Sus scrofa: one gene and its partners. The protein of the gene in region 5 purifies or fractionates together with the protein of the main gene of each other region. This does not show direct contact. Links are inferred from orthologs where the notes say so. Each region holds a gene or a part of one and is shown on either strand. Other genes may lie near its edges.

The links.
Region 1: the proteins of SNRPB2 (region 5) and GEMIN5 purify together in Homo sapiens (co-immunoprecipitation; 3 studies listed by BioGRID and IntAct, with this or other methods). This does not show direct contact. The link is inferred for Sus scrofa from reciprocal best matches to the Homo sapiens genes SNRPB2 and GEMIN5.
Region 2: the proteins of SNRPB2 (region 5) and SF3B5 purify together in Homo sapiens (affinity purification with mass spectrometry; 3 studies listed by BioGRID and IntAct, with this or other methods). This does not show direct contact. The link is inferred for Sus scrofa from reciprocal best matches to the Homo sapiens genes SNRPB2 and SF3B5.
Region 3: the proteins of SNRPB2 (region 5) and SNRPD1 purify together in Homo sapiens (affinity purification with mass spectrometry; 3 studies listed by BioGRID and IntAct, with this or other methods). This does not show direct contact. The link is inferred for Sus scrofa from reciprocal best matches to the Homo sapiens genes SNRPB2 and SNRPD1.
Region 4: the proteins of SNRPB2 (region 5) and PHF5A purify together in Homo sapiens (affinity purification with mass spectrometry; 4 studies listed by BioGRID and IntAct, with this or other methods). This does not show direct contact. The link is inferred for Sus scrofa from reciprocal best matches to the Homo sapiens genes SNRPB2 and PHF5A.
Region 6: the proteins of SNRPB2 (region 5) and SNRPD2 purify together in Homo sapiens (affinity purification with mass spectrometry; 3 studies listed by BioGRID and IntAct, with this or other methods). This does not show direct contact. The link is inferred for Sus scrofa from reciprocal best matches to the Homo sapiens genes SNRPB2 and SNRPD2.
Region 7: the proteins of SNRPB2 (region 5) and SF3B4 purify together in Homo sapiens (affinity purification with mass spectrometry; 4 studies listed by BioGRID and IntAct, with this or other methods). This does not show direct contact. The link is inferred for Sus scrofa from reciprocal best matches to the Homo sapiens genes SNRPB2 and SF3B4.

The regions. Positions count from the first base shown.
Region 1 is NC_010458.4:68,316,922-68,320,928, reverse strand, and holds part of GEMIN5 (gem-associated protein 5), read right to left. Parts: intron 3,638-4,007; coding exon 3,518-3,637; intron 3,013-3,517; coding exon 2,802-3,012; intron 1,082-2,801; coding exon 827-1,081; intron 1-826. UniProt on the Homo sapiens protein: The SMN complex catalyzes the assembly of small nuclear ribonucleoproteins (snRNPs), the building blocks of the spliceosome, and thereby plays an important role in the splicing of cellular pre-mRNAs.
Region 2 is NC_010443.5:21,229,809-21,232,847, reverse strand, and holds SF3B5 (splicing factor 3B subunit 5), read right to left. Parts: upstream 1,585-3,039; 5' UTR 1,441-1,584; coding exon 1,180-1,440; 3' UTR 1,160-1,179; intron 1,051-1,159; 3' UTR 834-1,050; downstream 1-833. UniProt on the Homo sapiens protein: Component of the 17S U2 SnRNP complex of the spliceosome, a large ribonucleoprotein complex that removes introns from transcribed pre-mRNAs.
Region 3 is NC_010448.4:106,796,530-106,801,306, reverse strand, and holds the start of SNRPD1 (small nuclear ribonucleoprotein Sm D1), read right to left. Parts: upstream 3,107-4,777; 5' UTR 2,963-3,106; coding exon 2,949-2,962; exon of another isoform or gene 2,928-2,948; intron 2,717-2,927; exon of another isoform or gene 2,642-2,716; intron 1-2,641. UniProt on the Homo sapiens protein: Plays a role in pre-mRNA splicing as a core component of the spliceosomal U1, U2, U4 and U5 small nuclear ribonucleoproteins (snRNPs), the building blocks of the spliceosome.
Region 4 is NC_010447.5:7,069,777-7,074,357, reverse strand, and holds the start of PHF5A (PHD finger-like domain-containing protein 5A), read right to left. Parts: upstream 3,214-4,581; 5' UTR 2,848-3,213; coding exon 2,796-2,847; intron 2,379-2,795; coding exon 2,355-2,378; intron 1,860-2,354; coding exon 1,693-1,859; intron 486-1,692; coding exon of another isoform or gene 441-485; exon of another isoform or gene 288-440; intron 1-287.
Region 5 is NC_010459.5:25,370,547-25,373,928, forward strand, and holds the end of SNRPB2 (uncharacterized protein LOC768116), read left to right. Parts: intron 1-450; coding exon 451-501; intron 502-1,799; coding exon 1,800-1,888; intron 1,889-2,374; coding exon 2,375-2,534; downstream 2,535-3,382. UniProt on the Homo sapiens protein: Involved in pre-mRNA splicing as component of the spliceosome. Associated with sn-RNP U2, where it contributes to the binding of stem loop IV of U2 snRNA.
Region 6 is NC_010448.4:52,039,462-52,044,167, forward strand, and holds the start of SNRPD2 (small nuclear ribonucleoprotein Sm D2), read right to left. Parts: upstream 3,014-4,706; 5' UTR 2,940-3,013; coding exon 2,938-2,939; exon of another isoform or gene 2,039-2,937; coding exon of another isoform or gene 1,971-2,038; intron 1,542-1,970; coding exon 1,362-1,541; intron 1-1,361. Other genes in the region: QPCTL (glutaminyl-peptide cyclotransferase-like protein), read left to right, coding at 3,771-3,980, 4,468-4,611. UniProt on the Homo sapiens protein: Plays a role in pre-mRNA splicing as a core component of the spliceosomal U1, U2, U4 and U5 small nuclear ribonucleoproteins (snRNPs), the building blocks of the spliceosome.
Region 7 is NC_010446.5:99,121,870-99,126,531, reverse strand, and holds the start of SF3B4 (splicing factor 3B subunit 4), read right to left. Parts: upstream 2,969-4,662; 5' UTR 2,875-2,968; coding exon 2,841-2,874; intron 2,362-2,840; coding exon 2,233-2,361; intron 1,697-2,232; coding exon 1,154-1,696; intron 572-1,153; coding exon 365-571; intron 1-364. UniProt on the Homo sapiens protein: Component of the 17S U2 SnRNP complex of the spliceosome, a large ribonucleoprotein complex that removes introns from transcribed pre-mRNAs.

The DNA of each region.
Region 1 (4,007 bases), on a different chromosome or scaffold from region 5:
TTTGGTGAACTATCTAGACAGTGGGGTTGCTGGGTCATCATGCACATGGATGCTTAATTCTAAGAAACTGCCACACTGTTTTCCAAAGTGCTGTACCATCTGAGGACATCTCATTCCTCAAAAACATGAGTGTTCTCTCATCAAAAGAAAAACTGGGTAAACTGAGGTTGTCTTCATAGGATGGGTATAGGAGCTATAATGAATCAACCTATTCTCTGTGCAAAAACATGGACAAGTTTTACAGACAGGGGTCACATAAACAAGCCACATAATAATGCACATGGTCTGACGCAAGGGCTGTTTTTGGTAAGCCAGGGAAAGGGAACGAAACTGGGCAAGGGAACATGAGGGACTTCAAGCTGATTTTGTTTCTTTTACCAAAGACAAAAAGAATATACAAAACAAAACTAAAAAACTCCATGAAGCAAAAATGACAAAATGTGAACATCTGTTAATTCTAATTGATAGGTACTTATTCATTGTATTCCTCTTCATTTTTAGACTTTTTTTTTTTTTTCTTTTAAAAGGGAATACAGCTCTAAGACTAACTTCCAAAATAAAGGGTTTTAATTAGTCTGAAGGGATCTCTCCAAGGTTTCTTGGGCTTGCCTTAGTTTTTTTTTTTTTTATTTTTTATTTTCCCACTGTACAGCAAGGGGGTCAGGTTATCCTTACATGTATACATTGCAATTACAGTTTTTCCCCCAGTTTTTTTTTTTTGTAGAATGCAAACTGGCATTTTACATGTTGCCTTGTTGTACTAGACGTGGATTAAAGAAGTCTTACTCCTGAGAGGTTAGTATCAAAAGCTCACGTGCAGGGGTACCTGTTTGGAGGGGGTGTTATTGGTAGCAGATGGGTACTTGATATTTTGCAGCTGCTGAAGGGCTGCCTGGTACTGCTCTGGGGAGTCGAGGCTGAAGGCGCTCTTCCATACTGCGGTCACCCTTTCCACGAAGCACCCTTCGCTGCCCGAGGGCCAAGCATTGTAAGAGGAGGAGGCGCTTTTGCCCTCCGAAAGCTGCTTTTCCTCTAGCTGCTTGGACAGCAGCTCCAGAAGGCAGAACACCAATCTCTGACCCTGGAACCAACAACAAAGGAGAGGAACTGTCAGGCAGGGAAGTGCTCAGTTATCTGGAGATTTCTCCAGTCTCTCAGTCTCCCTCTTTGCATTTGAGCAACCACAGACAATTTTTCCAGATGCCTTTTGAAAGATTCCTACCCAGAGCCCTTGGAGCTTAAGCAACCATATTTACAACATGAAATCCCAACTATAGCCCTATTCACCGAAACTTAAGCCACATGCAGCCCAGCTACCTACGACTTGTGGCCCAGTTTGAGCCAAGAGGGGGTGGACTCATCCAGTTTTTTCCCCTTGCCCAAACCTCAGATTAAGGAATACAGAAGTTAAAGCTTAACAGGCAGAAGGTGCTGGAACAGACAAGTTGTGTAGCTCTAAGGGCCGGGGCAGTGGTTAGGGGCCATGTCCAAGGAGGTTTAACCGAGGGAGTCAACTAGAAGAGAACAAAAGCAGAGAAAAGGCCTGGAGAAATACTTATTTTTACTGGATTTTCAGTTGCCATGAGATTCCTTGTGTACCCCCATAATATTTTCTCAGTTAAGCTTGGGAAGGTCTTTGTTCTTATAGCCAAAACAGCCCTTAGCAGAACAATGTTTAGCATAAACTTAGGTTTTTTTGCTTTATTAAGGTTGCCATTTTAGGGGAGAAAAAAAAGAAGTGCCAAATAACCACTCTGGAAACTTTTTTTTGTTATGGTTATCTCTCTAAATTTGGTCACTTTATAAATAATATACTAACCGACACTATCCTTTGAGGGTGTTCTACTTTTACCTCCATTTTTTATTTTGCAGTTCCCAGAAAGCTACGCCTCGCCTAACATTTTTCTTGGGTAAGGAATATTCAGCTAGGAACTCGGGTCTTTAGGCTGAGTACTGAAGGGAAAGAGGAACTGAAGAAATTCACATATTGCCTGACAAGCAAAGCTGTCTAAAATGGACCAGATGTTTACATGTTTTAAAAACTAGGTGAGGGAGTTCCCATCGTGGCGCAGTGGTTAACGAATCCGACTAGGAACCATGAGGTTGCGGGTTCGATCCCTGCCCTTGCCCCGTGGGTTAACGATCCGGCGTTGCCGTGAGCTGTGGTGTAGATTGCAGACACGTCTTGGATCCCGAGTTGTTGTGGCTCTGGCGTAGGCTGGCAGCTACAGCTCCGATTAGACCCCTAGCCTGGGAACCCTCCCATATGCCGCGGGAGCGGCCCAAGAAATGGCAAAAAGACAAAAAAAAAACCTAGATGAGTGTGCTGATGCTTTTAAAACAATCTGAATTTTGATGTGTCAAAAAGGACAGTGGTTATTTAAGTTACTCATTTTTAACCAGATGGAACAGAATACTTAACACAATGGTTTGATTTCCCCCAATTCGTTACAGCTTACAGTTGAAGAGGGCTGCTTTGGGCAGAGCACCAGCCAGCCTCTCTCTTCACTGATGTGCTGATGACATCAATGACGGGAGGCCAGACTGCCAGCCCAGAGAGGCTGAGCTGCTAAGCAATGGCGATACCTTTCAGGGACCACATTATCCCTTTCTCTGAGTCGGGTAAGGGAGAAGCCACAGTTCTTAAAGGGGCGCTGCATGGCCAGGACTTGCTGGACGCTTCTGGGGATAGCTGCCAAATTGGTACAGCTTGTCCAATTGGGTAATTCACTCAGACTCTGACTAGAAAAGGACTTGGGGCTCTTCCCTCTTAAAAGCAGGAGAGGCAGTAACAGACTGACCTTGAGACTTTCGTGGAGCTGCAGGGCTTCCTGGGCTCCCACCCAGTTCCTGGCCATAAGCAGCTCTTGGGCACATCTGAGAGCCAGGGAAGCAGACAACTCACTCTCTCCTACGATGGAAGCCAACTCTGCAGCGGTTCTAAGTGATGCCGCGTCCCCCTTTTTGGCCAAGACTTTGGCTGCGTCATAAGCCGAAGTGGCCCCTAAATAGCTGAAATACAAAAGAAAACTCAAGCCAAGGGTCATAGACAGATCTCTTACTCCTGCTTCATAGCGGGTTGAATCATTTCTTTCTGTCCACTTTGCTAGCGTGCTTTGCCGTGGTCCCGGTTGTGGCACTGCCTGTGGCTGTCCCTGTGAAGCCTGAGGCCAGCGCAGAAGGGAATGAGGCAGCATAATACAGGTTAAGGAGATAAAAGAAACCTCAACAGTTGCCAAGTTGAGCATAAGCAAAGAAGTCATTCCCTCTCATTTTCCACACTTAATGATAGAAGACATCCCCAAAGAAAGGTGTAATTTCTTGGACAGTTATGGTCATTTATATAAATGCCAAGTAGGTAGACCTTGATGAGTCTTATGAAGCTGGGTTTAACACACATATGCTTTTTAATTTGCTGGTCACCTTACCCCACCTCTAAACTCCTCGCTTCCATTCTTGTCCTGCTCTCTGTGGAACCTCTTCTTTTTGGGCGCCCTCCTCTTTGCCTCAGACTTACCATTTGGCTGCTAAGGCATAATGACCGTCTTTTTCTAGGATGGCTCCCCAGCTGAGGTACAGGTCTCTCAGGATTGGGTCCTCTGGGCGCAGCCGGGCCTTGGCAATGGCAATGGCCTCCCTAGAGGCAAGAATAGGCAATTAGCCAATCTGAAAAGGCTCCTCTGTAAGAGACCCTCAGAAGGGCTGCAGGGCAGGATAAACTGTCTCTTTTATGTTGTCTGTCTTGTTCTAATTTCCCATAAAAAACAGTATTCCTGTATTGAACGGCAGGTTAAAACCATGTGCTGCATTCGGTTTTTTCCTAGGTCAGCAGTTCTTAAAAGTGTGGTCTGTGGATTCCTGGGCATCCCGAAGGCCCTTTTAGGAGGTTCATGAGGTCAAAACTATTTCCATAATAATGTCAAGAGGTTATTTGCTATTTCTTATTTGTACTGATAATGCAAAAGCAATGGTTGGTAAACTGCTGGCATCTGAGCAAGAATCCAGAT
Region 2 (3,039 bases), on a different chromosome or scaffold from region 5:
CTGCTTAAATGTTACCTTCTCAATAGTTTAACATGAACATCTTATTTATGGATTTTTTTTTTTTTAGGGCCACACCGGTGGCATATGGAGGTTCTCAGGCTAGGGACTGTATCAGAGCTGTAGCTGTTGGCCTGTGCCACAGCAACACAGGATCCCTGCCATATCTGCCACCTACACTGCAGCTCACAGCAAAGCCGGATCATTAACCCACTCAGTGAGGTCAGGGACCAAACCTGCATCCTCATGGATCCTAGTCAGATTGTTTCCGCTGAGCCAGGATGGGAACTCCTGAGCATTCTACTTAAAACTGCAACCCTACTGCTACTCTCATTCTCCACAGCACCCTCCAACATGTGCTTGCTTATGTCTGCAAATTTTGTGGTCTTCTGCTCCCCCAACCAGTGTAATATAGGTCCTTAAAGCCTGCCACATAAAATTCAACACGTATTTGCTGAATGAATTTAAGAACTAATTTGACAGTTTGTCAATACTCAAGATATGTCCACGTATTTCCAAAAGAAAGAGGTGTAATCTACAGAGAGAAGGCAAAGCGAGTCAAGATTTTTTTTTTTTGTATGAAAGAAAAAGGACACAGTGATCACAAACCTCAATAGTGAATGTGTTAAGGGCCTGAGAAAAGTTCCTGGGAGAAGTCAGGGTTGGAGAATATTATAAAGAGCGTATTTAAGTGTCTGGCAACGAACTTTGGCCCTGTGCTACTGTTGAACCCCTCCCCAACCCTTCCCTTCTTTATACCCCCCGCCACCCGGCAAACCACAGTCCCAGAGCCCTCCTTGGCCCCTCCACCAGAACACAAGTAGTCCACACCAAGAGACCGAAACATTTCTAAACTTTATAGAAAAAGCAACGAAGACAGTCAACTAGCCAAAAACGAGCCTCTTAATCCCATCTCACTCCAGCCATATCTCCTCTAACGTCTGCAGACTTTAGGATCTCTCCACTGTTCAGTTTCTCAGGGGTTATGACGGGTCTCCCAACACTTTGTTCCACAGGAAGGCAGGTCGGACGGAACGCCCCGGGTAAGGACCTCTGTACAAAGAAAGCACGAAAAGCAGAGCTATGAAGAATCCGTCCACTTGGGAGAGGAACCCGCGGGAATGACGACAAACCGGAGGAACGCAGAGAGGTGCTCACGTACAGCGGTGAGACGGTGAGGTCTCAGTTCTCCTCCGGTTTGTCGGCGGGCGGGCCGCAAGGCTGCAGCATCTTCTCCATCAAGTTGAAGCGGACTCGCGCTTTGCTCTCATTCTCGGCAATGGCGAAGTAGTTGAGAAGGTCGAAGTGGCCCATGTAGGAGCAATAGGAGTCGCGGTGCTGGTTCACCAGCCACTCCCATTTGGTGGTGTCGGCGTGGCCGGTGCCGATGTATTTGGACTGCAGATGCTCTAACTGGCTGTGGATGGTGTAGCGGTCTGTCATCTCGTTGCTTTTTCCTTTGCTCGCAGGTCAGAAGCCGCAGACGAGAAGAAGCCGCTCTAAGGTTTCAAGCCGGAGAGGAGCCACCCGCCGGAACCTCTGTACACGCGCGGCCGCAGGTGGATGGCGTCACAGCGACAAAGCAGCGCGACTCGCGGTCCCCGGCCTCCCAGGCGGAAGTGTATTCTGTCACGGAATTGGAGTTGCCTCGGCAACGCTACCAGTGGGCCTTCCCTATAGAGAGCCCCGCCTCCTTCGCAGAGCGTTGCATGCTGGTCCATCTAGCGGCCCTTTTCTAACAGGAGCTTTGCATGCTGGGACTTGTGGTTTCCGAGGGTTGGTTCGCAGAGACTTCTTGGGACCTCTGTGTGTGGGTTTGAGAGACTGAATGGACTGCGGTGTTTGGGAGGCAGGAAGCATCCTCGGGCGGATGGGGGGCCGAGAGGAAGTGGGAAACAAGTAGTACAAGGCTGTAAGCAACTGGGGAAAGGAGCTCTTTGTGCAATTCCGCTTTCGGAGCTACAGAGGGTACAGTAGCCGTTTCACAACCAGGGGTGGATCACCCTGAAGTCAGGAAACTCAAGGTCTGACCCCAGCCATGTCTCTTACAAGTTGTGTGGAAACTTCTTTCATCGCTTGCGGGGCCGCCGTTTCCCGCCTAGTGACCTAAGTACAGCACCAGTTCCGACACATTCAGGCCCCCACAACAGGCTCCTCCTTTTGAGCTTCTAATTTTGACATCCTCCCAACAAGTTTCACCCCACCTACAGGCCCTCAGCCTCTACTTCTCAAACGTTCCCGTGCTGCTCTCTCCAGTTCTCTGTACGAGCTGTTCCATCTGCGTGGAATGCTTTTGTTCCCCTGGCAAACACTTCTCCCTTTTAAGTCAGCTCGAAAGTATCTCCCTGAAATTGACTTTGGCTACTCCAGACAGATGTAAATTCTTTTCATCCTGTACATCTCTTTGTTATTATCACTTTATATCCAGTTTTTGGTTTAAGAACTTCCCCACACGAATACAAACTACTTGAGAAAAACTACTTTTTTGATGATGTCTTTTTTTTTTTTTGAGGGTGAGACATCTATCTACTTGATCTATTTGTAGCATGAAATCCACAAAGAAAACCCCAAAATGCGAAGTTCAATAAATTCAAATAGTAATATTTTTAAAAATATTAATGAAAAAGAGATGATGTCTTGTATCATATGCTTCTGTTATGCTAGCCACAGAGCCTCGCAGAGATTGTTTCTCAAAAAACATCTGATGAATGGATTAAAAAAACCTGTATGACGGCCAAATAAATTCTTTACTGGGAGAAAGATAACTTTAAAGTATCTTTATTCTGGTATAAAGTTACGGTTAGATAGGACTAGTAAGTTTAGAGCTCTATAGTTAACTATAGTTAATACTGTATCAATACTAAAAATTGTGAGGAGGTGAATATGTTAATTAGTTTGTGGTACCATTTTATTGTGTATATGTATATCAAATCATGTTGCACCTCTTAAATATATATAATTTTTATTAAAAAATTTTAGTGGTAAAACAGTTCCCTCTGGGATCAAATGCCTGTACCAAAAATTGGAAAAAAAAAAAAAAAC
Region 3 (4,777 bases), on a different chromosome or scaffold from region 5:
GAATTCAGATACGTCCCATAGCCTGGGAACTTCCGTATGTCATGGATGCAGTCCTAAAAAGACCAAAAAAAAATTTTTTTAATATAAATAAAAAACAAAAATTAAAAAATCAAGATAACAGGATAGTGAGATACTTTATTAAACAGGTTAAAAACACCAAAACCTGGCAATTTATCACATTATCAGGATTACTGAGAGAGCTAAGTCAAGGAGTTCCCCTCACGGCTTAGCGGTTAGTGAACCCAACTAGCATCGCTGGCCTTGCTGTAGGTTAAGGATCTGGCGTTGCCATGAGCTGTGGTATAGGTCACAGACGCAGCTCAGATCCTATGTTGCTGTGGCTGTGGAACAGGCCATTGGCTATAGCTCAGACTGGATCCCTAGCAAACTAGTTATACAAAACCCATTTTCCCAGTGCAAAATACATTCTCCAATTATTAGGAATTTTGCTTCTATAGTCTAAGACACAGAATAGGATTCAGTACAGCATTAATATTTATAGGAGGAGTTCCTGTCGTGGTGCAGTGGTTAACGAACACGACTAGGAACCATGAGGTTTCGGGTTCAATCTCTGGCCTCACTCAGTGGATTAAGGATCTGGTGTTGCCATAAGCTGTGGTGTAGATCACAGATGCGGCTTGGATCCCAAGTTGCTGTGGCTCTGTCGTAGGCCGGTGGCTACATCTATGATTAGACTTGGGAACCTCCATATGCCGAAGGTGCGGCCCCAGAAAAGACCAAAAAAAAAAAAAAAAAAAAAAAAAAATTTTATAGGAAAATTCTGTCACAACATGGACTATCGTTAAGTGGGACAAAAGACTCCAAAGAGTATTATCTATACTAAGACTCTGACTGGCAAGTATTCAGACATTAAGAAAATAAACTTTAGGAGTTCCTGTCGGGATACAGCTACAATGAATCCGACTAGGAACCATGAGGTTGTAGGTTCAATCCCTGGCCTCGATCAGTGTGTTAAGGATCTGGCGTTGCCATGAGCTGTGGTGTGGACTGCAGACATGGCTGGATCTGGCGTTGCTGTGGCTGTGGCGTAGGCTGGCATCTGTTGCTCTGATTAGACCCCTAACCTGGGAACTTCCATATGCCGTGGATGTGACCCTAAAAAAAAGAAAAAAAAATAAACTTTAAGTTCTGAGATGTTTACCTTCAAAGTTATACCTCAAATAAAATGGACAAAGTCTTTCAGTTATAAGTAAGAACTAGAAATGTAATATGCAATATGATAAATGTAATCAATACTGCTGTATGTTATATATTAAAGTTGTTGAGAGTAAATCATGAGTTCTCATCAGAAGAAAAAAAATTTTTTTGTCTATTTCTTTAATTTTATATCTACATGAGATGATGGATGTTCACTACACTCTTTATGATGTACGTAAATCAAATCATTATGCTGTGGGAGTTCCCTCGTGGTGCAGCTGGTCAATAAAGAAAGAATCCAGTGTTGTCATTGCAGCCTTGGGTTGCTGCTATGGCACAGGTTCGATACCTGGCCTGGGAACTTCCACATGCCTTTGGCACGGCCAAAAAAAATCATTATGTTATATACCTTAAAGTTACACAATGCTGAAAGCCAGTTACATCTCAATAAAACTGGAAGGGAAAAAAATAGACAAAAAGTCAATCTTAAATGCCTTCTCTACAAACACCAGCCTGAATATGACAATGAGGATTCTTTATGTTATCTCAAACTATCTTCTTGTCTATCTTCTCTGCAAAACGAACGCTACTACAACATAGGACTCTTTAAGGGGGGGGTGGGCTACTGCTGTAGCACAACTGGGATTCTTGGCGTCTCTGGAGCACTGGGATGCAGGTTCGATCCCCAGTTCAATCCCCACCGGCACAGTCCAGCATTGCTGCAGTTGCCGAGTAGGTTGCAAATGCAGCTAGGATGTGTTCCCTGGTCCAAGAACTCCATGTGCTTAACTATTTGGTCGACATTGACAATTCTTGACTCAACAGACAATAAACTAGTTAAGCTAGTTTATAACTGCCGGCTGAGTTGTAAAAGCCTCTGCTTCTATGTTCCAGGCTCTCAGCCTCAAGGAGAAACATCAGAACTCAATCTATTTGCAGGTAGTTTTTGTGATGAATTAGCTCAACCAGTAAACGAGTCTTCAGCAGGCTCAACTAATCGACCAAATTTAAATACAGAAATAAACAGAATAAATCTCGATTATCTGTGTAATCAGCCAAAAAGTACGGAAGAGTGATTCTACCCCATATTGAGAGGTTTTTTCCTAAATCAAAGGGCTATTTTAAAGGGAAATGTAAGTTGAATAATCTTAAGGCTAGGGAATAACAACAAGAGGGAAAAAAAACACTATTAAAAAAAAAAAAAACCTCAGGAAATCAGAAGTCCATCCCTGATCCCTGATTTAAAATACTTCGGAATTGGATTTCATTATCTCCAGATAAACCCCTGCAGCTTCTAAGTACTCTTTTAAGTGTGACGGTAGTTTCATTAAAAAATATGCATTAATTTAAACTACTTGTGCAGGATGTACAATTTTTATGTCTCCCACGTTCTCAGGAAGCGTGGACCTAGTTAAATTTGCCGGTTCCTGAGTGCTGAGACGAGCCAGAAACGTTCTAACAGAAACGGAAGTCTGTAACTCACCGAAAGTAAGAGCTTGTAAGCCTGGCTCTGTACTTTTAAGGCCTCTAAGACACCTGATGGGAAAACACCGCCCGGCCTTCAACCTCTCGGAAGACCCGCAGATCCCTGGGCGACCCAGTCTGAAGCCTGGTCGAGTGCCCGCGGCGACGCGACCAAGATGGGGCGGGAGCGGCGGGCGCCGAAGGCCGTTAGCAGGCCGCGCGCGCACGCGGCTTTCGCGCCTCCTGCATCTCGGGCAGCTCAACCCCCCCGCTCCCGGTCCAGGACATCCCCTCATAGTACCCACCCTGCTCGGTCACCTCCTCACCTCACGAGCTTCATCCTCTCGGTCCGATAGTACACAAAACCCCACCGCAGAGGCCGACCCGCAGGGAGAATGAATGACCGGAAACGCTTACTCCCGGGGATCGACGTAAAGAGCGCGCGGATCCCTGCGCACTCACGGCGGAAACGCCGAGGCTGCGCTTGGGCCACTCTCCCTTCCGGCCGCGAGTAGCGCCAGTGCGGCCTCTGGCGGCAGGAGGTGTGCCTTGCAACTGTTAAGGGCGTTTAGGGCCGATCCAGGAGGAAACTTCCTGTAAGAGAGAGTATTTCAGGAAATTAAATCCTATTAGCGAGCATAACAAGGCTCCGGGTATTATGTAGCACCAAATTTTCTCGTGAATGAAAGGAAATAATTGGAGAATCCCAAAGGATTATGCTCCACCACCAGGTATCTCAGCGTTACTTAATGTGCTGAAGAAAATCATACAATTTAACTGATTATTTTCACTTTAAATTCTGGTCACAAACCTCAAAAGTGTCCCTTGCACTGCCCAGAGATCGTTATGCTTCTCTAATAAGCTCACAAAGTATTTCATACCTTCTTTCTTCTCTTTATCTCAAACCTTTTACAGTTCTTCTCCCAAATCACTCTCTAACGTATCCTACTTTTAGAAAACAGAAGCCATCCTTCTGCTTCCCTTTCTGTGACAACGATAGAAGTATTATTGCTCCTTTGGAAAGCAAATTCCTCTTGGTTGTAGTCTGGATCCCATCTCATTTCCTCAAGAATTTCACTCCTTCAATGATCCCCTTCTAATTTGAATCATCAATTCCTCCTTCTCTACTGATTTTTTCTATCAACATATAAATTTATCTAAAAAACAAACAAGCAACGAGTTCCCACTGTGGCGCAACAGGATTGGGCAGCATCTCTGCAGCTCCAGGACGCGGGTTTGATGTCCAGCCCTGCATTGCTACAGCTGGCTGTAGTGTGGGTTCCAACTGTAGGTTGGATCTGATTCCTGGTCTGGGAACTCCATATGCCTCGGAGATGGCCAAAAATGGAAAAAGAAAAAAAGGAAAGGAAGAAAGAAAAAATTTTGTAGTGCCAGTTGTGGGAACTCGGCAGGGTAAGAACCTGACTAGTATTCATGAGGATGTGGGATCTATCCCTGGCCTCATTCAGTGGGTTACGGCTCCAGTGTTGCCACAAGCTGCAGCGTAGTTCACAGATGCAGCTCAGATCCAGTGTTGCCGTAGCTGTAGTGTAGGCCTCAGCTGCAGCTCTGATTCAAGCTTCCATTTGCTGCAGGTGAGGTCTTAAAAAAAAAAAATTCTCCTCTCATGCAGCTCTAGCTCCCACCAGATTTCTTCCACAGAAAACCTCCTTAAATGAGCTGTCTATAACTTGTTTTTATTGCCTTGTAATTCGATCTTCAAATACACTGAGATTGCTTTTCTAATGGTGATCAAAAACCCAATACAAACTTCTGTCTTCCTCTTACTCAGCATCTCAGCAGCATTCAAAACAGACACTCTCCTTTGAAACATGCTCCTTTCTTGGCTTCCAGGATGCCAAGTATGCCTGGTTTTAATTCAATCTCACTAATGACTCTTTCTAGGTCTCCTTAGGCTGCCTCATTGTCTCCTGAGCCATTACATGCTGGAGTGCTTCTTGGCTTACCCTCAGCGTAGTCTCTTCATGGATACTTTCTCCTTTAGCCTAGGTGATCTCCCAAACCACAGCTTTAATATGTATCTCAGGACTTCATCCCTGGTCATCAGAATTCTTGAATGTTGTGAGGCAATGCTCATCAAACATTAATGTGCATAAAAAAAAATGGAGTTCCCGTCGTGGTGCAGTGGTTAACG
Region 4 (4,581 bases), on a different chromosome or scaffold from region 5:
AACGCTTACGGATGACTTACAGGGGTAGCGACAAAAATGTGGACCATACTACAATACACGCAGGGATTATACTTTGAACTGAGGAAAAGGGGAGACAAACACAAAAACCAAGCTTCTTTCTGTAAAGGGAGTGTAATCTACCTGGTGGATCAGATCAAACAGGTATGATATGACAATCAAAAGTAAACACAAATCAGAGTTTAGGACAGGAGAATGTTCACATCACCAAGGGAAAATTTGTCTTTGGTACTTTATGATCTTTCTCATCTCCCTAAATAAGAGAAGACTTAATGGTGTAAAAAAAAAGTTTTATTTGGTGTGACATGTCCCACTTATTAAAGGTAGACAGGATCCAAATGTAAAGATTGCTGAGTTGCTTCTCGTCAACCAGGCACATCCCACCAAAAGGACCATAAGGTGTATTGCAGCTATCACCAGGTTTAGACAGACAGCCGGGGCTTGCCCCTTATTAGCTGCAGGACAGACTGTAAAAGGGGGATAGTAATAATCCCTATTTAACAAAGTTACTGTGAAGAATATGGAAGATAATACCCACATAGAAACTACCTATTCTTTGCACAAGGAAAAATTAAGAAATATTTTATCTCATGCCTTATCCTAGATTAGGTAACCAGATACCTTATAATAAATAGTCTACTGGTACTATATCACATTTCCTTTTATTTATTGTGTCATATGAATAAAAGCTGATTAACCTCCCCTACCCCAAGCCTGCTTTTGGAATAGATCTACAAGCCCTCTATCCTGGCTCAAAGAGTTGAATAAATAGCCACTGGCACCGGAGTTCCCGTCGTGGTGCAGTGGTTAACGAATCTGACTAGGAACCATGAGGATGCGGGTTCGATCCCTGCCCTTGCTCAGTGGGTTAAGGATCCGGCGTTGCCACGAGCTGTGGTGTAGGTTGCAGAGGCGGCTCGGATCCTGCGTTGCTGTGGCTCTGGCGTAGGCCAGTGGCTACAGCTCCGATTTGACCCCTAGCCTGGGAACTTCCATATGCCACGGGAGCGGCACAAAGAAATAGCAAAAAAAAAAAAAAAAAAAAGCCACTGGCACCAAAAAAATGTCAAGGGGCAAAAATGCCATGAGCAAGAATTACAATCAATTCTGCAAAATCAACCAAAGGCACTCTCTAGCCACTCAGAGCTGAAATGAACTTGAACTGTCCCAAATTCAAAAGTCATCACATCCACCCTAACGTTCCTTAATGGTAGCACAAATTAGTGACTTCTGCACATCATGCACTGTGGTATGATTTAAAAATGCAGCATAGTTTCTGGGGGGAAAAAAAAAAAGAGAGAGAAAGTTCCTTTGTGGTGCAGTAGGTTAAGGATCTGGCATTGCCGTAGCTGTGGCACAGGCCACAACAGCAGCATGGTTCATCCCTGGCCTGGGAGCGTCCACATGTGGACACAGCCAAAAAAAAAAAAAAAGAGAGAGAGAAAGACATCAAATTGCCAGTGTTGACAAAAATTTGCTTTTCTCGCCTTTGTGTACTTGATGCAAAATAACTACCTTTTGTTGGAGTACACCCAGTTTGGTTTACAGAACTTGAAAATTATAACCTAGGTGACTGGCTGAACAGCCATCTCCTGACCATAGGAGTCTGCTGTGGATGGCCAAGTGTTCCTAAACGAAAGGAAAGATCAGAGGAAAAGCTTAGTATACACTCACATCCTTCTCCTGGATGGTGCACTCCTTACAATAATAGGCATCTGAAACTCCCGGGCCTCCGCAGATCACACAGCGCCCCTGGTAAGAGCCATAGTTACACTCGTCACATATGCGCACCAGGGTGCAGGGACGCACGTAGGAGTCACAGATCACACACTTGCCATCACCTGTAAGGAAAAGAGGTTGAATTACGCCCACTTGCAAGTACCTCAGGTCCTCTTCCTGCTATGGGTAAAAACACTATGTCCTTCTGACAGTGACTTTAGCCCTCTATTTTGGCATTATAAAATTGGTTTACCTAGCGTCCATTTCTCAATCTCCCCAACACATAGGAAAGCTAATCAATTAATATAAAGGGCTTAGAATAGCAGTCGGTAGATAAGTCTATATAATTGACTGGCAGAATGCTGTGTGTGTTGGGGGCAGGGTCATGCTACTTCTGGTCCAAAGCTAGAGGTTTTGTCAAAACCTAAATACAGTGCCTAAAATGTACAAGTTGGAGCGGGAAGGTGGCCTTTAGTTGCAGTCTGGCTTTGTATTAACATGCTTCCAATCATGTCTATCCAAAGCCCTCTTCGTGGCACCGCTGAAAATGTCCGTTGCTGCCACTATAGAAGCTGAGTGGGAGGGGTGGGCTGTTTGGAGAAGCGTGTTCCACTCACATTTTTCACACAGTCTTCCAATGGCTGCAAGATCAAAGGTGATAAAGAGTACAATTAGGATTAAGGTTTAGAAGAGGGGACAAAAGCCTCGAGCTTGAGTTGGGGACAGGTACAGGGTCTGCAGTGAGCCCTGAGAGGTCTTAACCATCGTATTCTCATAAACTTCAATCCGAACCAAATCCGCACCCTCGTAAGACCTCCCAGGTCCTGGGAAAACTGAGAATTTCTCTATCTCCGCAGCCCCTCTCCAGCTCTCAGCACGCGCGCCCCCGCCCCCCTTTCATCTGAGCCCACAAACCCACGCGCTCCTACACTACCGGCGGCGAGGCGGGAAACGGGGCGCCTCCGAAGCAACACCCTAAAGGAGTAATGGGAACCCCGGACTCTTAAGGTCCTAATACCATCCCCACCCAAACAGCCGGGGGCAGAAGACCGTCTCACCAACACCAGCCTGCTTGCGGCAAAAAATCAAGTCCGGGTGATGCTTAGCCATCGCTCGCGCTCAAACCACCGGAAGCTTAGGGAGCTTCCGCCAGACCTTTAACCCTGATTGTTCCTGCCTCCTCGTCGCCCTGATTGGTTCTCTAGGCGTCCATCAGCGTTTGCAATCTTTGCACCAAGCCCCGCTCATTCTCGCGTGATCAAAGCACTTAAATTCCGAAGACGAATTCCCGTTGGCAGTGGGGGAGTCAGGTCTTGGTAGGGGTGTGCGGGTCATTTAGGGAAAAAAAAAAAAAAAAACTTTCCCAGATTTGAATGGGAGGGACAAGTTGCAGAGCGCAAAGACGAAATTTGCACTTTGATATCTTTGTGCCGGGTATTTACTACCCCAACTTTTTAGGCAGCTCTCTCCCAATTCCCAGGTTGACTCTGGAGCTCCGCCCACGTCGCTCGCGGGAACGCCTTCAGCGTGACGCGTTTCTCCTCAGGTCACGCCCCTCACCGAAGGCCTTAAATAAGCCGCGTGTCACGTCACTTTCAAGCGACCTCATCTTTGTCAGTGCACAAAATGGCGCCTTACAGCCTACTGGTGACCCGGCTGCAGGTGAGCGAACCGAGAGCCCTCTAGGTTTACGGGGGCGGGGTACCTCTTTTGCGCTTGCGGCTATGGGCAAGGCAAGGCGAGGCGGGCCTGACCTCCGGCCGACTTTTCGCGTACCTGTCCCTTGCGCGGGCCCAGCGCAAATACCCGCTCCTCTGGCGCCCGAGGTCAGGGCGTCCCCGGCTCAGTCAGCTCTCAGCCCTGTCCCCGCCCCGCTGGAAGCAAGGGCCTAAGAAGCGGCGGCCGGGTGAAGAGTGGAGGCACGTCTTTCTCATTTTTGAGGACCGCAGTTTCTTCCCCCGTAAGGCTTTTTTTTTTTTTTTTTTTTTTCCTCCCCCGTTCCTCAAGGTGAGGACAAGGTGACTGGGGGGCGCGGTGGTTGGTAAGCGCGCTAGGCCCAGAGCCTGAAGGCCTCACTTTTCATCTCAGTAGCACAGAGTTGCTAGCCAGGTGCATCTACGGTTGCCAAACATGGAGTCTGTAGGGGGGGAAAAAAAAAAAACTATGACCTATTCCATCTTGTGGGGATCCTGCGGAACATGTACCCAAGAATTCGAGGGGGTGGGTTCCGTGCCCAGATGTAGCAAATAGTAATGATGACAGTAGTCTCTCAGCTTTGCACAAGATTGCAAGACTTAATTCCTCACCACATCGTTTGATTCATATCATCATTTCTGGAGATGATTATTTTTATTTGATAGGTGATGACGCTGTTAGAAAACAGGTAAAAGTTCTGCTCTCTGAGTCTTACCAAAGTGCTGTGGCCTGAGCATCTGCCCTACTACTCCCCATTCTCCTTGTCCCTTTCAGCCTGCCCTCACAGAACTTTTTGAGCCAGAGTGTGGTCCTGGAGCTGACATTTGTATTTGTGGGAGTTCCAGAATGGCGTATTTTGAGCTCACAATCAGTTGCTTTTCAGTTACTAGATGGGGAGGGTAAAAGAGACTCAACAGTTTGACCTTGACTGTCCTCTTTTGAACCATCTAGAAGATTGACTGACTGCCATTTCTTTTTTTTTCACTCCTGACTTGACAACCCTAGGAAGATGTTACACTCAAAGGTTCAATGTCAAGAACGTATTTCGTTAATAAAAAATCAAGCAAGCATTCTCCGACAACCTTTTACATTTAAATTTGTGAATCTACATTGGATCAAGTAGCACAACTATTATTGCAGAATTTAAAA
Region 5 (3,382 bases):
TACTATACATAAATGTTTGAGTGAGTTTTTGAAATGTAAATTTGCAGCAAAAGTAAGGTAGAATAAAAAAATCTGTTAATCATACTTTTATGCAGTAATTATAAATGTAAATATCTGCTGGGGTTTTTGGGGTTTTTTTTGTCTTTTTGCCTTTTCTAGGGCCGCTTCCTGCGGCCTACAGAGGTTCCCAGGCCATGGGTCTAATCAGAGCTGTAGCTGCTGACGTACACCACAGCCACAGCAATGTGGGATCCGAGCCGCGTCTGCAACCCACACCACAGCTCATGGCAACGCCGGATCCTTAACCCACTGAGCAAGGCCGGGGATCGAACCCTCAACCTCATGGTTCCTAGTCGGATTCATTGACCATTGAGCCACGACAGGAACTCCGTGCTGGGTTTTTTTAGAAGGGTTGGAAATTGTAACTTTCTCTTATTTTTTTTGGCTTAGGGAACACCAAATTCGGCTAATACCCAAGGAAATGCAACACCAAATCCTCAGGTAATATTATTTTTCCATGTGATACTTATTTTAAAATAAAATTATAAAACAGTGACAGAAATATACAACAACCTGCATGTCTTCCAAAACCGAAAATTATTCCATCTCTAAGCCACAGTACATTAAATTATATACCACTTTAATGTGGAAACTCACTCCTCAAAACATTCTAATTTTCTTTATTCCTTACTCTGCACAATGAATCAATAACAGAGTCAAAATGACAGCTTCTAAGCTCTGTGAAGGCAAGGAGGAAAATTGATGTTTTTCCACAGTATGTGGCCCAGAGCTTTCCAGACTTGTGCCTTGGGTTGAGTTGGCTAAGGCACTAACCCATCTTTTCTAATAGAGCCAAATTGTTTTACAGTTTCCTTTGCTCTTGTTTCCTCAGCACAGATATTTTTAAGTCTCCTGATACAGGTGTTTTAGAAACTCGTTACCAGGTCTTCCCAATAAAGGCCTCAAGAGAAAGCCTCGGTCATGGACTAACAGTTTCCCATGTGGTCCCTTGGGTGCTAGAGTCTGACAGGATCCTTACATCTAGGGAATTGCTTATCTACTTCTTTGTAGTCTTTCAGCAGTTACAGTTCAGTGCACAAATGCCAGCACTTAATTTTCTGAGCCCTAAGTTCTTTACATTTCATCTTTCTTCCATGAAATTAACCCGAAGATGGGGGCTCTTATATATAAGAACCTTTTGCTATGATTCCCTGTATCCTTGGGATCAGGTAGCAAATAATTTAGTTTAATATCTAATAACAGTGTCCGTTTCTACTTATTTGTATGTAACTAGATGCCATGTATATCTCATTGATTTGCAGAAAACATTAAAAATCACCAAGTAGTGGTTCTAAGTAGAAATCATTCTGTTTCCCTATGTTCTAACACACCGGGAAGTAGTAAGCAGTAGTGCAGAGGGTTTGAGTACCTGAGGGTGGGTGACATCTCTGCCTTATCTAGTTTCGTTAGGATTGGTCATGTAATCCAGAAGACAAAATCCTCCAATTCTAACTGACCTCCAGATGTTTTAACTTAAATATTGTTTTAAGTACTGTTAAAAACCGTTCTTAAGATTTATAATTTTCTAAATTTGTATTAAGTGACTTGTTTAGTCACTGTTAGGTTTTTGTTTATTTCTCTGGTGTCATTGTTTTTCAGCTTAGTGTTTGATGTAGTAAGATTTCACAAGCCTTAAACAGTGGAAAGTTGTTCTCTGAAGTTTAGATTTTAATGTGAGAGCTAAATGGCTTACCATGCTTTTTATACTTCTAAGCTAGCTTTGCCTTTTCTTTTTATAGGTCCCTGATTATCCTCCAAACTATATTTTATTCCTTAATAATTTACCGGAAGAGACTAATGAGATGATGCTATCCATGCTGTTTAATCAGTAAGTGTTTTCATAAATAAGTCTGTGTTCCGAGAGCCTTCTGACAGGACATCTACCTCTTCCCTGGGTTGAATCCATTTGTGTGTCATGTGGCAGTAATTCTTACAGCTTCATTGATTTGCTCCAGGATTAATCACGAATTGAAACCATTTAGCAGGTTTAGCAAACGAAAAAGCTAAATTACCTCTAATGCTTGAATTATTAATGCTATTTGATGAGTAAAACAGGAAACAAAGCTTTGATGAAATGACAAAACCAGAATTAGTTTACATGATTCCTGCCATTCTTCTCATGCTATTAATTACATTTCAGGCTCTTTCCTCCTGCTCAGGATTCTTGGTGGATATGATACTTTTTGTGGACTAATATCAGGGTGTTGCTTAACAAACTTAAACACGAATAGACATTTGTGTATTTGATGTCATTTCTGTATCTATATATGTATACATTGTTTCCATATATAAAAATGGCTTTTCTTCCTTATAGGTTCCCTGGTTTCAAGGAAGTACGTTTGGTACCTGGGAGGCATGACATTGCTTTTGTTGAATTTGAAAACGATGGACAGGCTGGAGCTGCCAGGGATGCTTTACAGGGCTTTAAGATCACACCATCCCATGCCATGAAGATCACTTATGCCAAAAAATAACATTTGGGATAGTTGTCTTTAAAGGACTTGGTATTTATGGTGTTTGTTTTGATAATGTTTGGTCAGGCCATTTTATTGGGGGAGTGGGGATGTGTATGTGAAATTTTTGTAAAGGATTTAAAAAATTACCTAGTCTTTGGTTAGCCTCAGTGAACTGTGAACTGCAAAGGCCTTAATTTTGCCCAATAAACATTTATTTGTATTTTGTATGTAATATTTCATTTATGGGCCCACTGTCCCATCATCGCATGCTAGTGCTAGTCTAGAACACATGCTAAGGGTATATAAAACTAACAGGGATCTTTTCTAGTGTTATTTTAAGCAGCTAATGGTAGAGAAGCATGGAACCATGTTAATAAAAGTAGAGTTAGATCAAACAGTTGATTAGATTTTCTGTAATGTTATTTCTTATGCGTATGAACTGCCATCCTAGAGTTCATTCTTTTTTTCTCTCTCTCTTTTTTAAAAAAATTGACTTTTATTAATGGCAAAATGATCATCCTGGAGATTAGAAGAAAATGAGACCTGGGCAGGATCTAAATTTCTTGTTCTTCAAATCATTGAGCATAGCTAGGATTTTGTTGGCAGTCAACATTTCACAAATCCTTTCATTCAGTTTTTAATTGAGTCAAGGCTGTTTAGAAGTGACTGTATTTATTGTTTTCTGGGAAAACAGACAGAAAGAGAATTGTCTTCAAACTTCACATTGTATGCGCTTACCCTCTTGAGGCAAGATGGTTCTGAGAAATACCTGCTCAGGTAATAACCTAACCTCTTTATTGAATGACCTTCTGAGGAAGGATTTTTAGTCTAATCTTTCTGAAGATTAGTAGGCTGACTTGGAAAGT
Region 6 (4,706 bases), on a different chromosome or scaffold from region 5:
TGAGGACTGCCAATGGTTTTTTGCTGTTGTTGTTATTTTGGTTTTTTTGTCTTTTTCGGGCAGCATCTGTGGCATATGAAAGTTCCAGACTAGGGGTTGAATCGGAGCTGTAACCACTGGCCTACACCACAGCCGCAGCAACCCCAGATCCAAGCCACTTCTGTGACCTACATCACAGCTCATGGCAATGCCGGATCCTTTAACCCACTGAGCAAGGCCAGGGATCGAACCTGCGCCCTCATGAATGCTAGTAGGGATCATTTACCGCTGAGCCACAAAGGGAACTCCTGCCGATCATATGTTTACTGAGCCTTTGCCACATGTTAGGTACTGAGTTAAGTGCTCTTCCTACAGAAAATCATTTGACCCTTACGACTGTTCTGAGGGGTATTATTCTATGCATAGTATTTTGCAGATAAGGAAACTGAGGCCCAGAGAGGAAAAATCACTTGCTGCTCCCCATGGCTGAAACATGCAGACCCTAGGTTGCACCTTCGTTTTATCCCCATCTGTCCACCTAGAAGGCCTCCTGCATGACCCACCGAGGACAGCAGCACTCCCTCTCCACACTCCAAACTCTCAGCTGGCTCTACTCTTCTGCACAGACTTTGCCATCACTTGTCTTCCTGACACATTATGTGTTTGCTGTAGACTCCCCTGAGTACAGGAGGCATGTATGATTCAGTCACCATGGCATCTCTGGAGCCTAAGACAGTACCCCACAAGGGCAGAGGCCACTGTGCACGAACTGAGAAAACTGATGAGGAAGACCGTGTGCCGGGGGCGCTACTCCTAAGGACTGACTGTGCTTCACATATATTAAGTGACTGAATCTTTGCAACCATCAAGATTACGGCCATTGTAGGGAAGAGATATATGGTCCCTTGCTGAATGTCACACGGCTGCTAAGAGGCAGAGCCAGGACATCATTCCAGGACTGGCCCCCAAGTCCATGGCTGAACTTTACAGCTGGAGGAACAACAGAGACCGTCACAACAGGCACTCTTTTTTTTAAGCCCACACCGGAAGCATATGGAGGTTCCCAGGCTAGGGTTCAAATCGGAGCTACCGCTGCCGGCCTACACCACAACCACAGACATGGGATCTGAGCCACACCTGCGACCTACACCACAGCTCACTGCAATGCCGGATCCTTAACCCACTGAGGAAGGCCAAGGATCGAACCTGTGTCCTCATGGATACTGGTTGGGTTCGTTAACCACTGAGACATGACAGGAACCCCACCTTCAGACGCTTATGCCCCAGGCTTCTAAGAAACCTAGAATCCAGGCTCCTCAGACTAGAGCTGGGACTGCTTCTCCAGGCCAGGACAGACCACCTCCCCAGACCCAGGTGCTCACCTGTCAAAGGCCTTCACGCGGCCCAGGAGCTTCTTGTTGTTGCGGCAGTTGATGAGCACTTGGGTGTTGTTCTTGACCGACTGTGTGAGCACGGACAGCGGCCCCGTGTTAAACTCCTCCTCCTCCCGCTTCTGCAGCTCCTCTGGCGTCATCTCACTCTTGGGCTTGTTGAGGAGGCTCCTGAGTGGGCAAGTATGGAACTCATAGGTGACAGGGCCTGGAGCCAGAGCCTGGGTGGTCATGCCCTCTCGCTCACTGTCTCCCCAACACACCCACCCTCCGGCTCAGTCCTCTCTCTTAGCATCACCACACAGCTGCCTAATAGACAGTTCCAAGCTTGCACGTCCTAGGCTGAACACCAGGCCCCGCGGTACCCCCAAACTTAATCTACCTACAGCTGCCTTCGTCTCCATCCATGGCAACTCCATCTTGCTATGTCTTTGAGCAAAACCTCTAACGTCAACTTGACTCTTCTTACTCTCACATCCTACATTCAATCTGCTGGCAAATCCCATCATCCCTGCCTCTCAAATATATCGGAATCTGACCACTTCTCACCATGGCTTAACCTCCATCGACTCTCTCCTAGAGCCGTAATGGTCTCCCTACCTCCACCCATGCTCTCCAAGTTTGCTCTTCACAGAGCAGTCTCTGGTTGGTGCCAAGGTCCAAGTCATATCATCTCACTCTGCGAAACTCTCTTGAGGCTCCTATCTCAATGTAGAAAGTAAAAACCCTTTATCCGCTGCCTTCTCTCACTCCGTTCCATCCAGAGGGGTGTCTTGGAAGATTTTCAGCAACTTTCTTCTTAGGCTTCTGCATTTGCTTTTCCCCCTTTACCTGGATACGTCCCTAAATATCTTTGTGCGCTCACTTTCTCCAGCTTTCTGCTCCAGTTGCTCCCTTCTTCATGTGTCCTGTCTCTCAAAACTGGCATTCCACATTGTTTTACCCTGCTCTACTGTTTCTTCATTCATAGCCCCGGTCACCTAACACACCATATATTTTACCTTTACATTTATTGCCTGGCTCAACCCAACCCATAAAATGCAAAATGGAATTTTTTCCCTTGGGGGAGTGGGGTAATTCACTAACATATTCTGTGTCTAAAGAAGCCTGACATATGAACACTCAATAAATAATTGTTGCATGAATACGTAAGTAAAATCCTTCCGATAACTCGAGACCCATGATAACGACGAATAAGGTCAAAAGGCTAACCGTCTCCAGCTCAAATTACCCTGATAAGATCCTCACTTCAAATCGTTCTTCCCCACATGTCCGTACTCCCCTCTCCCAGGTTCCATTTTCGTACATCGCTTCCCCTTAACATTCGCTTCAGTAAGACTAATTATTTGGGAAAGCCCAGCCCGTTATCTGATAAAGCTGCTCCTGCTCCTAAAGTCAGGATCCGAAAAAGGCCCCACATCTGTTCTCAAACTCATCGGTAACGTACGCCACTTTACCCCGAAAATGTTTGCTTCCGCCCCAGGCTCTGCCCACCCCCTTCCACCGGCAAGTGGCCAGATTTACACCCTCAACCCACTCCTGCCACCTAAGCCTAGCCCGGCCTCACATGGCGGTGGCAGTAGTTGTCGCGACCGCGCACTCCAGTCACCACCGTCTCCGCGTTGCTTCTTCGCCCTCTGAAAGGAGCGAGAAGGGCGGGACTTCCGCTTCCTGAGGCCCACTTCCGTGGGCGCTTGCGCAAACACAGCTAGTGGGTGGGGCGTGGCCTGTTGCCATAGCGATCTCTGCTCGCCACAGGCGGCTGTAGGGTAAAACTCTTACGTACTACTTTGAGGCCATTCAGGACTGTACCGGGCAGATATTGACGATGGAGAGGAAGAGAAAGCAGGACTTATTCAAACCATTTCGTTGTAGAACCGCACAGGTTGAAGGAGGGAAAGGACAAGCCATTTCCAAATGCCCGCCGGCCCTGCCTTCGGGGGCGCGGCATCCACGAAGCCAATCGGCTCCTCGCTTCAGGGATGGATACCTCCTCTTCTACTTAGGGGACCGTCCGTTTATGTGTTTGTTAATCCTTTGGACTTGGAATAACCAATCCTTTGCTTACATCCGGGAGGGGCGTGGACCCGCGCCCAGGAGGTCGGCTGTTTTCTAGGATCAAATGCTTCTCATTGGCTTCCCCTCTTCCGCTGAGGCGGTGCCTACCTCTTTCGCGCTCCCTTTTGGGTTGTGCAACCCTCAGGGGAACCAACCCTTAAGCTTCAGGGAGACAGGGAGGCGTGTCCTCAGTACGAAAGTCCCCATTGGCTTTACTGCTTGCTGAAGGGTGGGTTGGTGCAGCCGCTCTTGTTGCTTATTGGTCCGGTGATTCCATGGGGTGGGACTTGGCTGGCCTAAACTCCATCCGCAGTCCCCGACCGGTTTCAGGGCGAAGCTGCCATGCGTTCAGGGGGCCGCGGGCGGCCCCGGCTACGGCTTGGGGAACGCGGCCTTTTGGAGCCACCCTCACCGCCCAAGCGCCGCCTGCTACCGCGGGCGCAGCTGTTGCCCCTGCTGTTGCTGGCGCTGGCGGTGGCCTCGGTGTTCTATACCATTTGGAGCGGCTGGCACCGCCAGACTGAGGAGCTGCCTCTGGGCCGGGAGATGCGGGTGAGGCCGGACGGGGACAGGGGAGCCCTTATTCCCCGCCTCCCCCTCCTCAAAGTCTCAGGTTGACGTGGCTTTATCGTTATCGTGGGGCCCTAGCCGCAGGTGCCGCGATCTTCGTCGTTAGAGCGCATGCCCCTTTCCAATGCAATGAGGCTTCGGGCTTTTTCTATAATAGCGGTTGCACCGTAAGAGGAAGGGTCTGGAGTAGTAAGCCTGGGAGTTCTGGGTTCTAATCCTAAAGTCAGCTGTTTGGAAGTCTCTTCCTCTCGTTGGGCTTCGATTTCTCCCATCAGGATTGCGGTGGGCTATACCGGATGGGCTTGGGTAGACTTTCCCGAGTCTAGGATTTATCCTAGAAACCTCTGATGCTGGAATCTGCCATTAGGAAGAGGAGCCGGGGCTTTTTAGGGATGACAGCCCCCGGGGTAGAGTTGAAATGAGGGTGCTTTTCACGCTCTGCTCTTCTCTTTCCCACCTCTTTCCCAAGGGTCCGGGGCTCGGAAGCCTCCCCGAAGCCGGGCTTCGGAGGGTGGTGGGGCGACTGGACCCGCACCGTCTCTGGCACACTTATCTGCGCCCCCTGCTGGTTGTGCGGACCCCGGGCAGTCCGGGCAATCTCCAAGTCAGAAAGGTAAAGGGCCCCACCTCCAATCCCTGACCCCGCAGCCACCAAGGAATGGGAAATAGATATTCTGCCCAAGAGCTGAAGCTCGGTCAGACTCTAGA
Region 7 (4,662 bases), on a different chromosome or scaffold from region 5:
GTGGCGCAGTGGTTAACGAATCTGACTAGGAACCATGAGGTTGCGGGTTCAATCCCTGCCCTTGCTCAGTGGGTTAACGATCTGGCGTTGCCGTGAGCTGTGGTGTAGGTTGCAGACGTGGCTCGGATCCCGCGTTGCTGTGGCTCTGGCGTAGGCTGGTGGCTACAGCTCCGATTCGACCCCTAGCCTGGGAACCTCCATATGCCGCGGGAGCGGCCCAAGAAATAGCAAAAAGACAAAAAAAAAAAAATGTCTGGAAGAAAGGAATGTCTAAAGAAAGGGACTCTCTATTATTGTTGAAGGACAGAGAACAGCAGCATAACTGGTGAAAGAATCCCTCTCCTTCCCAGCAAAGAAAACCCACCTGGATGGGGCATCCCACCCGGTGGGAATGGGTGAGGATGTGAGTGTCCATGTGCAGGATGTCCAGCCCCTGGGGTTCCTGCTGATGGAGGGCCATGTCCTCCAGCCCCAGGAGGCATAGGTGGTGGGGGCATGGCTGGGGGTATCCCAGGTGGAAGGGCTCCAGGAGGCGGTACTGGGGGTGGGAAAGAGCCAGGAGGAGGCATGCCTGTAGAGAAAATAGAAAAAGAGTTCATGATAGTGAGAAGAGAGTACCTTTAGGGGGCCTGTTCCAATCTGGCCTCTAGGCAAGATGAGTTCTTTTCCCCTCCTTCCAGCTCTCTAAAGTCAGAAGCAACTTAGACAACTTCAAAATTCTAGAACAGGAGTTCCTGTCATGGTGCAGTGGTTAACAAATCTGACTAGGAACCATGAGCTTTCGGGTTCGGTCCCTGCCCTTGCTCAGTGGGTTAAGGATCTAGCGTTGCCATGAGCTGTGGTGTAGGTCGAAGATGTGGCTCAGATCCCACGTTGCTGTGGCTCTGGTGTAGGCCGGTGGCTACAGCTCCGATTAGACCCCTAGCCTGGGAACCACCACATGCCATGGGAGTGGCTCTAGAAAAGGCAAAAAGACAAAAAACAAAAAAAAATGCTAGAACAATTCAACAATGTTCTTCTCACTGCATCCATTACCTCTCAACCCCTTTCTCATCACCTACTGACTCAATGTCCCCTCCTTTCCAGGTTCTTTTTCCTTCTTCCTGCCCTCCCCCCAATTTAAGACAAACATATTCTGAATAGAAAGCTCTACCTGGTGGAGGAAGCCCAGACCCCAGTGATGATACCACAGGATTTGGAGCAGACGGTGGAGGGGGGGCATCTGCAAAGAGCTGATGAGGGCGGTCAGCCTGGGAGAGTGGGTTCTGTGCTGCCAGAAGTCGTTCAGCTGCTGAGCCATGGCGCTCACCCTTGGAGTCCTTCTTGAAGGCATAGGACACAGTGATTGGGCGGTTACAGAGGTACTGCCCATTCATGGCCTCAATTGCTGCATCCGAAGCATCAAATGAAGCAAAATTAATAAAGGCATAACCTTTGGAGTTGCCTGTGTCAGGGTCCCGCATTATCTTGGGGGTTTGTAAGATGACCCCAAAGGCGCTAAAAGTATCATAAAGCAACTTCTCATCAATTTCTGGGTCCAGGTTTCCAATGAAAATGTTGGCTCCCACATCCAGGTTTTTGTTGTGAGCTGATGCCTTGTTCACCCGTATCGGCTTCCCATAGAGTTTGATCATGTTCATGATCTTAATGGCATAGTCAGCATCTTCCTCACTTAAGAACTCCACGAAACCATAGCCTAGGGAAATGGAAAAGAAGAGTTAACTTAAGTGAAGCGATTCAAAATGAGGTATAACTCACCTTCTAAAGTACAAAGAACAAGAAAAAATAATCCTACTTCAACTGAGAATGGTTCCAGAAACAAACTGAGTTTAAGAGAAAGAAAACTTTAGCTTGCTTATTCCAAACAGTTGTGAATACTGCCGGGACCTTCCAGGAGCAGTTTGTTTCCTCAAAACATAACTGCACTTCTTGGGAGTTCCCGTCGTGGCTCAGTGGTTAGCGAATCCGACTAGGAACCATGAGGTTGTGGGTTCGATCCCTGCCCTTGCTCAGTGGGTTAAGGATCCGGCGTTGCCAGTGAGCTGTGGTGTAGGTTGCAGACGCCGCTCGGATCCCACCTTGCTGTGGCTCTGGCATAGGCCAGTGGCTACAGCTCCGATTCAACCCCTAACCTGGGAACCTCCATATGCCGCGGGAGCGGCCCTAGAAATGACAAAAAGACCAAAAAATAAATTAAATGAAAAATAACTGCACTTCTTGCCATGTACTCACCTTGATGCTGACCAGTGACTCTATCCTTTGGCATGTGGGTGTTGACTACTGGCCCTGCCTGGAGAAACAGTTCCCACAGCAGTGGTTCGCTAACTTTCTCATCGAGGCCCCCCACGTACACAGTGGCATCTGGAGGACAGGGTTAGGAGGTTAGGACAGAGATGAGAGGAAATAAGGAGGTGACGGGAACATGAAGTCGGAACCCAGGCGGTGGAGTTGCGGGTGGAGATGGGGTATTGGAGCAAAGAGAAAAAGAAAAGAAAAAAAAAAAAAAAAAAAAAAAAAGACGTTAGCTTATACCCCTACACCGCCCTCCATTCCAGGTAATACAAAATCTTCTTAAATATAATTTAAAGTTCTGGCGCACATTCTCTTTGTAATTTTTTGTGTGCGTGAGTGGGAAGGCAGCAGGGGATGGGACATAGACAACATCACACCTACAGGCCTCAGCCTCTGGGCACCCGTCCATCCCGCCCCAGCAGGCATCAGGCCGGTCTAGCGCCTTTTGGGATGCTCCAATCTCCCGCCCTGGCGGAAACACTGCTGGCTGTAACCCGAGATCCCCCAAACTCCCCTGGGCCCATCCCGGACTTGTGCCCTCCACTCACCCTGATTCCGCTCGGAGATCGGCCCAGCAGCCATGGCGAAAGACCTCCCGCCGTCTCCAGGCAGCGATACCGCCTCCTGACCGCAGTACTACTTCCACTTCCGGGGCGAAGGCGGACGTAGAGGCGGTGGGCGGGGCCTATGCAGGGGAGGAGCCGGAAGCGGCCGCGGCCATTTTAGGAGCCGCTGAGACTTGAAGTGATTGGTGTTACCGTGTTCCGCGGTCTTTGGTTTTGTGTTGAAGTGCCGCTCTGACAGGTTAGGGCGGGGAACGCGGATCGGAATCTCTCAAACGCCCTAAGGCAGTGCTTGAAGTTAAAGGATCACGCTGCTCCCAAAAATGTCAATTCAGGAGCTAAGAGAACAATATTTTTCGTATATTTTGTGGCCTCCTTTGATTCCCAGAGAAGGGTCTTCTGCCCAAGGCGTGGAGGCAGCTGTCCACCCCGGCCCGCAGCCTTTGGACAGATGGGGCCCCATAGTCCTGGCCTGGGCTTTCATTTTTCCTCAGGGAAGGGATTGCGGAATGTCTGAGCTGGAGTGACGTTGAGCTTGCCTAGTCAGTATTGCATTGGGGGTGACGGGAACCAGAGGCTCAGAGATGGGAGTGTGTGTGACCAGCGCTGAAGAGTGGTTAACACTGAAGTCCAGAGGCTTTGGTCTCAACCCCCAGAGCACACCCCAGCCCCAACAACAACGTCTGGGTCTGTTTTTGCCACATCAGCACCACAGGGAGAACCCAAACTATGAATTCTGCAGAGCTTCACCTGAACCATCCCCTTATTTCCTTAGCAGTAATTCGGTCTGTATCTTCCTCTCTTGAGTCACACCATCACTATCTTACCTAGGTTCCTTTATTCAGACACAAGAAACAATGCCAGCAGTGTGTATAAATACTGTGATTTAATGAACTCCTTAAATAGAAATGCCGTTACAAAAATATACAATTGGAAAAGACTGGGTGTCTCCCATAGCCACACCACACCCAGAGAAAACTTTAAGGGAAGAAATAGAAATTGGAATCAAAGGAGCAGCAGGGGGAGGTGAGAAGGAGGTCTGTAGGCCATCTTGTTGGCACTGACAAATTGTTTCTCTGACCTCACAATTTACCAGCTCAGTATCCAAAATTTCCATCCAAAAGGGTTGGAATGCATGAAAAAAGGGCAATCATATTCCGGATTGGTTTTGTTGGTTTTGTTTCTTTAATTCTTCAGGTCACAAGAAACTATTTAAACCAAGAAGGATAGGGTAAGAGTTGGATAAGGTTAGCCACCTATCAGCTATGGAAACTCAAGTCAGTGAGCTTGTTTAAAGGCTGGCATATGAAAGCTGAGGGAGTAAAACCAGATAAGATTTGAAGGATTAGACAGAATTCTCCCTCACCCCAGACCACTCTCTGCCCCGCCCATGAGAGAGCCAGCAATTTCAGTGGGATTGGGAAAGAATGGTATTTGGATCTCTTTTCTTGGAGTGATCCTCAGGAGATATTCTTGGTGTCCATTTCCTTAATAACTCCTGAAGATGGGATAGCTCATCCTGGAGGCCAGCGATTGTGGGAGCTGAGAGGCCCATCTGGGGAGGGGGTGAAGAGAGGCAGAGAGGACTATTATTGCAGCTCTAGCTCTGCTTCTAAGTTCTGTCTGCTACTTCTGGCATCCTTAATTCTTTCCTACTCCAACTATGCCTTAGGTTCCACTTGATATAAGCCACAAGCATTTCCCCCACACTCCCATACCTCTCCACTTTGATCCCAACAGGAATGGTACCTCACTTCCCAATCCCCAGCCCACTGCCTTTCCAACTTCTGGAAACATCTGGTTTCTT